2 linked regions of the Oryzias latipes genome follow. The protein of the gene in region 2 binds, or shares a complex with, the protein of the main gene of each other region. Links are inferred from orthologs where the notes say so. Each region holds a gene or a part of one and is shown on either strand. Other genes may lie near its edges. The genes, in order: fgfr3 and fgf23.

Region 1 (3,345 bases), on a different chromosome or scaffold from region 2:
GCTCCACATCTTTCATCTTCAAGCTAAGCTATGATAAACAGACAACTTTGGCGTTTTCTTCTCGTTCTCTGATTCTTTTTCTTGTAGATTTAGGAGATTTTAAGTCGTAAATTTAAAACTTAAAAGTCGTAATAAAAAAAAAAAGTGTTTGTAAATTGACCCTAAAACTCCGTCGTAATACAATCATGCTCAGACCTTTTTTGAATAAAAAGCACATTATCTGATGGTTTCAGCAAAGGATGCTGGGAAAGGGAGTTTTAAATGAACACTTGCTCTTAAGACGATCCCCCCCACAGCCAGATGTAGTACAGGAGGAGTCGAGTGCAAGCTATGTTAGCCGAAGGTGCTGCAGAGTTCATGCATGTGGATGTTTTGGCGGTTCTCTGAAGGCTTCCTGTGACGTAAATATGTGGCCGTGAATCTAAGATGAACGTGGCACAAAGAGCTGCTGTCATTCTTGCCCAGCAAGAGTTAATCGGGCTGAGAGGAAACCTCCAGCTCCCCGGACAGCTCAGACTTCCCGCTCCGGCCTTTCGCATCACACTCGCCCTCTAAGCTCCGCCTCTTGTCGCCCGTACATAATGCATTTTTATAAAACTGTAAACAAACAGAAAAAAAAAAAAAAGATGGATCACAACCTGGAAGAGACCGCCAGCTGCGACAATAGGTTCCGCTGTAAAATAAGTTACAAAACGTTGAAATAAAAATCTGTGTGTACAGTACTAAAATTCTACACTAGACCTTTCAGACTCCAAACCGCATGTTAAGTCTATAAATATCTTTACAAATATACATGTTAATTATTCAAATAAACCTTTTAAATGATTACATGTTTTACAAGGACAGTGTCTTCCATTCTCACATATTATCTTACATTTTTTGTCTTTAAAGTACATGGCTGTAGACAGCAATATGATACCCATTTGCTAATATATATTTACACTAAACCCTCTTCTGGATAGCCGATAGAAAAGTCTTGGAACCCTTGTTTAGTGATCAGCCCTGAACTGCTTTGCAAACAAAGCTGCATGTGATGAAGATGGGACGAAGACGCTCTCTTCGGGAGTAAATTTCTTTGCCGATTTTTTGATTTTCTGCATCCCTTTGCTTTTGGATCAGACCTTTTGTTTCTATCTGAGGGGTCTGTGCAGACAAGAGCCAATCAAAAACCAGGCTCTTGCTCGCTGTCACTCATAAATGCCCATCATTTCCTCCTCGCATCCTTTTTTCTTCAGCGTCTGGAGGTTTATTCCCAGTAGGCACGGAATGGTTTCCCCACACGCGGTAGCAAAAGACTGGCCCGAGTAAAAAAATATACTTTCTTTTCCGAAAAGAGCACGACTACGGTTCACTGGCAAAAGAAAAGAAAAAATTCCTTCAATTCTGGAAGAAAAAAAACCTCGTTTAAAAAGTTTAAGACGAGCAGAAGAGCTGTGGAAGTATTGCATGGTGAGTTTAGACCTCCAGGGGTTTTGGGAGGGGAACTGTGACAGGAACCCCCACCCAGCGGCGCTTTTATGTCCTGATCACGCCGTTGCTGGGCAGCTGCTTTGGAAGACAGGGCTCGTCGGGCAGCGGGTCGTGGGCAAACACGGAGTCGTCTCCAGAGGAGCAGGTGCTGTTGGAGTCCTGACAGGTGGGAGAATACTGCTCAAAGGGCACCGACAGGTCCAGGTAGTCCTGTCAGAGGAGGATCATAGGTTACGTCTGATGAACCTCCCAAAGGAGCTATAACCGCTCAAGTGAATCCGTTCTCCATGTATGTGGAAAAATAACAATTTCACAATTTGGATCCTAATTATGCAAATAAACACAAACCGACTCACGCCATAAGTCATTCACAAACAACGGACGTGACTAATACTTTGATTGATAGCAGATGCATTAAAATGTCTGCCGTGGCACTAGCTCATCATCATCCATCAAAGGAGACGTTGGCGTCTTCCTCCTTACACGTGGGAGGGGCTACAGATGAAGCCGTTTTGGGAAATGGTGGTTGGTGCTTTTAGAGGAGCTGTGGATCCAACGCTTCCACATGACACGCTCAACTTCTGATGTGACGCTGTGGGACCTCTGGTGGCCCCCGCTGTGCAGCGCCCAATGGTATGCGGCTGTTGGTAACGTGACTTATTTATTTAAAACGTGTTTCCATTGCAGTTTAGCGAAATAAGTCAATGTGGATACGACTCAAGAACTCCTCCAAGAGCAAAAACCTTTTTATGATTAATGCTGATTTTTTCAAATTGTCGTGTTTTCATTAGGCGAATTTATCGCATATTTAATTTGTATCATTTCATAGTCAACGAAAACACAACTAGTGAAGCAAGACTTTGTTTATCAGCCAAAGCTCAGCATGACAGTGATAGTGAGGTCTAACAGGTGGACAGCAGTTGTGTGTTTGTAGACTTACATCTGTGGAGGTCATCGATAAAATCCGGTCTAGATCTTCAACCAGCTGTCTGAACGTGGGCCTTTGGGAGGGGACCGCATGCCAGCACTCCCTCATGATCATGTACCTGAAACCCAGACAGAAAGCTCTCACACATCTGGATCCAGAAACCCTCTGAACACAGACTTGATCCCAGTCGTCTTCTCCTCCCTCCAGGTCAGACACCTACAGCTCGTGAGTGCAGTTGGCAGGTTTGTCCATCCGATGTCCCTCCTTCAGCAGCTTGAAGAGCTCCTCCACTGGGATTCCCGGGTATGGAGAACCTCCCAGGGTGAAGATCTCCCACAGCAAAACCCCGTAAGACCATCTGAGCCAAAAACAACCAACAAATGCAGTGTTCAGATGCGTTAGGAAGCACATTTGCTCTGTTGGAGCTCTAAGAGAAGCTTTGAACTGTTTGGAATTGACTATTGATCTCAACAATGGTAACTGCACTCAATTTAGAAATCAATTCCAACCTCTTTTAGCCTGAGACAGGAGGTCAATAAGGTTTGTAAACTCATCATCGCTTCCCTCCAGACACAAACAAGAACAGACAGATAAAAAGATGATGGACTGACTTTATTATAAGAAGAAAATGAACTGGAACTGAGTTTTGGGGCAAGTAGAAAACCCCATTTAACAGACTGTTTTTACTTTTATAAGGTTAATGCGTGACATTAATCACATATGCATTTCCTCTACACACCGTCCCTGTGATGAGTAACAGAAACAAACATCTTTCATCTTTTGCAGCAGCTCTGCCGGTTCTGAAAAGGTTAGTAAGGTAATGAAATAATGTGAGGTGGATTAACCTGCAGGAACGTTGCTCATCCATTAACCCACCAAATAACAATGTGCCCCACCCTCCTGCTCTTTCGGGGCGCACACTAGATCTGGAGAGGGGAAAAAAGGAT
Region 2 (4,267 bases):
CCTCCGCCGGTCTGTGGTAGACTCCGTGCGGGTCCGAGGGATCCACGATCCGTTTCCTCTTCTCCCTGTGCGGGATGAGGCGCTCCAGCGGCACCGTGTTCTTCTTGGGTAGGAACAGGGAGGTCTGCGGCACGTTCTGACCTGCGATGTACACCTGTTTGGACCCCTCCAGGTTGAACAAGATGCTGGTCCGAGTGGAGTAGTACACGTCTCGGTTGTTTTCCAGGAGTTTGTGATTGAAGAGGCACTCCTCTCTGAGGCAAATAGGCTAAAAAAGGGGGGAACGGAGAGGAATTTCATTGGATTCAGTGCATTCGAATTAAAAAATAAATTCATGTTTATCTATAGTACATTTTCCATTCATGAAAAGAATTTTACGCATGGAAAAACTGTTTTTGGTTAAAAAAAAAAAACTTTAAACAAAAATGTAAAGTTATTTAAATTGTTTGTATTCGTCTTATTTGGTGCATTCAAAACATTTTTCATGTTTTTTTTTGCGTCGGGTATTTTAAACAAACAGACTTTTTGTGATTTTTAAGTTCATAAACTCTGCAAATGTGGCAGAGATCCGACCAAATCGTTATATTAACTACTTTAAGGCAGAAAGCAGGTAGTCAGACAATTAAACCGGATTTTTTAAAGGACCCGATGCTGCGTTTGTGCGTAAAAATAGTGCGTTTTCACGCACGGTTTAACAGTTCAGACATGTTCTGAAGAAGCTGCTCGGATGATCAATAATACCTATTTTGGATCAATCTTTTAAGTCTACAGGCCCTGTTGAGAAGAATTGTGTGAGGGGGTGCGTAAAACTTCATGGAGTTAAATAATAATAAAAGAAAAGACGATCAAAGATCAAGATTTAGTCGGCATTGACTAATAAAATGAAAAGGATGAACTGTATGCTCACCGAGCTGAATGGATTACCCTCCAGATCCATACACAGGTAACGGTTACTCTTGACTCCAAGGATGGCGACTCGATCCCTCGTTTCAGACTTAAGTAAAATCACACCTGGAAAGATTGAATAAAAAAGATTTAGCGCCAAGTTATTCCAGATAAATCCAAATGAAGACCAGTGCACAGCATTTAAGAAGATACTAGAATAAAAGCCCATCTCACTGTATGATGTTCTGCTCGCAGCTTTGCGCACGGTTCCATCTGATCTGATCTCCAAGTAGAAGTTGCAGACATCCGTGGATGTCTGCAGGTGAATGAATCTCCTCGGGTTTCCCCAGTTGGAGCTAACGAGCGGGGATGGATCTGGGGTTACTTGCCGGACAGAAAACCCCTGTAGAACGGCGAGTACGAGCGCCAGCATGGTAGTGTCCCTCATCACCTGTCCCATGCGAGCTGTTGGGTGCCCGTTGTGCCGAAGTTTGGTGACAGTTCGTATTTAAAGGCCCTGAGTGCCACTCCTGCTCACATCCTTTGGGTTAAAAAAAAAAAAGCAACTCGCCCCCAAAGCCGATGTGCGGGTTGCTGCAGCGGAAGGGCCACTTCCACCTCTGTTTGTGTCCCAATGTTGTTGGTCAGACAACACGACTCCTATTTTTGGGCTCACTTCTTGAGTCAGCCACCTTAAACTGTTCATTTTCTGGTTCTGGTTTTAGTTTGGGAAGGAAAAACATATTTGGCTAAAGTAAAAAGATGACAGAAATATGAATATTTAATAGCTTATACTAAACTCAAACTGTGTTTTTATGTCAATCGGGTCAATATAATTTAAATATAATTCAAACTGCAGGGTTGACTAATTTGCATATGTTTATATTTGGATTTAGTAGTTAAATCTCGGTTTTTAATAACTTTTCCATTCATAAATTTGGTTCAGTTTGATAAATTTATGCACCTGCAAACCGAAGAGATCCACCGTTTCACCAGCAGATGGAGACACTTCCTCACACAGCATTCTTCAACTTAGTGCAACGTTACCTTTAGCCTCCAAATATGATGTTTGCCTCCTTTAGTATTCTGGATTTTAAAAAATGCTGTGTGCTGTATGCAAGTGTTTAAAACAAGAGGGGGAAATCGCAAGAAAATCTTTTTGCAAGTTTTTTTTAAATTGTCGTTTTTGAAATCCGCAATTTAACACAAAGTGAAAAACAGTAACGAACCTCATTAATTAAGTATCCTGCTTTTTTTTGAACAACAAATGCACTTTTATCGAGCAAAAACCTAATTTTAATTTCCTGTTTTTAGTTACTGAATAATGCGCTTTTTATGTATTCAAATATATTATTAGTCAAGCATCCATCCATCCATCTGAAGTTCATTTTTTAAAACTGTCTTTTTTTGAAATCCAGAAATTGACACAAAGCTAAAAAATACTAAAAATCATGCCTGAGTTTTCCTATTACAGGCTAAAGAAAAGTCATTTTTTTTATCAGTTTCTTGGAACTTCTAACATATTACATGCAGATTACAGTTTTGTGTGTTCGTTTGTGCATGTATCGATAAATTATTTTTAAAAGGTGACAAATACACGGCTATAGTGGAAAGTGTTTACTCTTTAAATTGTGTAATGAGCTAAAAAATAATGATGCCTAAAAATATGATCTTGTCTTTTGAAGTAACTGCTATGATAGTGTTTGATTTTAAAAAAAAACAACACAACAGAAACAGTCTGATTAAATGGTGTGCTCTGAGGAACTGAGGAGTAGGAGGCATGTTTAAGCAAATGAGATAATTGATTGTGAAGAGATACTAACCTCTATTATTCTTTATGAGGGAAATACAAGTATTTATATTAAAGACCCACTCAGATAAAAACAGTGTTTATAACGTGGAGGACGTATATAAAGAAAGTTAAGCTCAAAGTTTCATTTCTTAGTATGTGTTTATTCAAATCGTTGTGAATCAGGAGCAGATGAAAAAATGCTGTTTGAAAAAGATCATATTTGTAAAAATATGCTGGGCGGGCCAAAGGCTCCCTGCTCTGCACCATTCTGATGCTTCCACTTCTAGACAAATCTATCCATGTACGTCTTTGTTTTCCCCATCTGAGTTCGAATCTGGTTAAGAACTGGACAGCTGGATAGCTCCAATATTGCTCACCAGTTTTGTGGCACAGCTACTGTTAGGATGGGGGTATGAGGGGCTGTAAGCTAGCAGGAAAGCAGTAAACAGATGAATGTGGGGAAGTGGTGGCGCGGCCGCTCTGCGCCTACAACTCAGAGGTGAATATTTAATTAATTCGTGCCGCTCTGCAGAATCTATGTCCAAGAAAACCAAACCGGTTTTTGGGATTTTGGCTAAAAAAGGCACAATTAAAAACCACTGGGAACAATTTGAAGATAAATCAAAGATTATTGGAATGGGTTTTTATGTTAATAGACAATTTTATCGAAATAAAAGCACAAGAGTCCTTGAGAAATTAATGACACATCATAAAGGGGCATTATTAATGTGTTTCACTGCCTTTATGTCTGTTTGCGTTGCAAATTTCCTGTGGTAATAACACTATATTAAAAATAATGATGCCTAAAAATATGATCTTGTCTTTTGAAGTAACTGCTATGATAGTGTTTGATTTAAAAAAAAAACACAACAGCAGCGGGATAAAAAAAAAAACAACAAAACTTTTATTATAATTAGGAATACAGTAGACTGCTGTGCACAGCACATACGTACAAAAATAAAAGGAAAATTTTACTCAGCATTGTCTTTTTTTCAGAAACAAATAACTTAAGCGAGTTTCTTCTTCTTCATTTACAGTCATCAGCAAACCAAACTAAGGCAGAGGGTGAGGTATATGAGAACAGAGGAGACGAACAGAGTTCCCAACGCCTAACATTATCTTATTTTCATACCTCATACCATTTGGACATGAAAATAGGTTGACATTGAAAGAAATATTTCCTCACCTTGACATTTTTAATGATTAAAATGATGTGGGGAAAAACTAATGACTCAGCAGATGCATTTTGTTTTTGGTCAAAGCTGAAAGGGGTTTGGGTTTAGACACAACCTTTTTCTCTTTTAGGCATCCGTATTTTTGAGTCAACCATCAAAAGCTGAAGATGCTTCATCTTTTTTTCTCAGCTGAGCTCGCCAAAGATGCACATTGTGTTCAGAAAACCTTCAACATACACTTTAAATTTCCTTTTTCTCCACATTTAGCCTTAGTATATGTACTAGTATATATTTATAGAGAGAGAGAGAGAGAGAGAGAGAGAGAGAGAGAGAGAGAGAGAGAGAGAGAGAGAGAGAGAGAGAGAGAGAGAGAGAGAGAGAGAGAGAGAGAGAGAGAGAGAGAGAGAGAGAGAGA

Evidence for each region.
Region 1: the proteins of fgf23 (region 2) and fgfr3 are in contact, whole or in part, in a cryo-EM structure (PDB 7YSU), measured with the Homo sapiens proteins. The link is inferred for Oryzias latipes from reciprocal best matches to the Homo sapiens genes FGF23 and FGFR3. Residues at the interface, in NP_065689.1 of Homo sapiens: Ser29, Leu32, Gly33, Ser34, Trp36, Tyr43, Ala45, Ala47, Arg48, Asn49, Ser50, His52, Ile75, Arg76, Ser77, Glu78, Asp79, Ala80, Gly81, Val83, Val84, His117, Gln118, Thr119, Asn122, Gly123, Tyr124, Asp125, Leu158, Ser159; in NP_000133.1 of Homo sapiens: Glu157, Arg158, Asp160, Lys161, Leu163, Leu164, Ala165, Val166, Pro167, Arg223, Asp244, Leu246, Glu247, Arg248, Ser249, Pro250, Val277, Tyr278, Ser279, Asp280, Ala281, Gln282, Pro283, His284, Ala312, Gly313, Ala314, Thr316, Thr317, Asp318.

Annotation. Positions count from the first base shown.
Region 1 is NC_019880.2:21,750,049-21,753,393, forward strand, and holds the end of fgfr3 (fibroblast growth factor receptor 3), read right to left. Parts: intron 2,757-3,345; coding exon 2,619-2,756; intron 2,517-2,618; coding exon 2,411-2,516; intron 1,681-2,410; coding exon 1,516-1,680; 3' UTR 564-1,515; downstream 1-563.
Region 2 is NC_019881.2:17,684,738-17,689,004, reverse strand, and holds the start of fgf23 (fibroblast growth factor 23), read right to left. Parts: upstream 2,930-4,267; 5' UTR 1,346-2,929; coding exon 908-1,345; intron 269-907; coding exon 1-268. UniProt on the Homo sapiens protein: Regulator of phosphate homeostasis. Inhibits renal tubular phosphate transport by reducing SLC34A1 levels. Up-regulates EGR1 expression in the presence of KL. Acts directly on the parathyroid to decrease PTH secretion. Regulator of vitamin-D metabolism.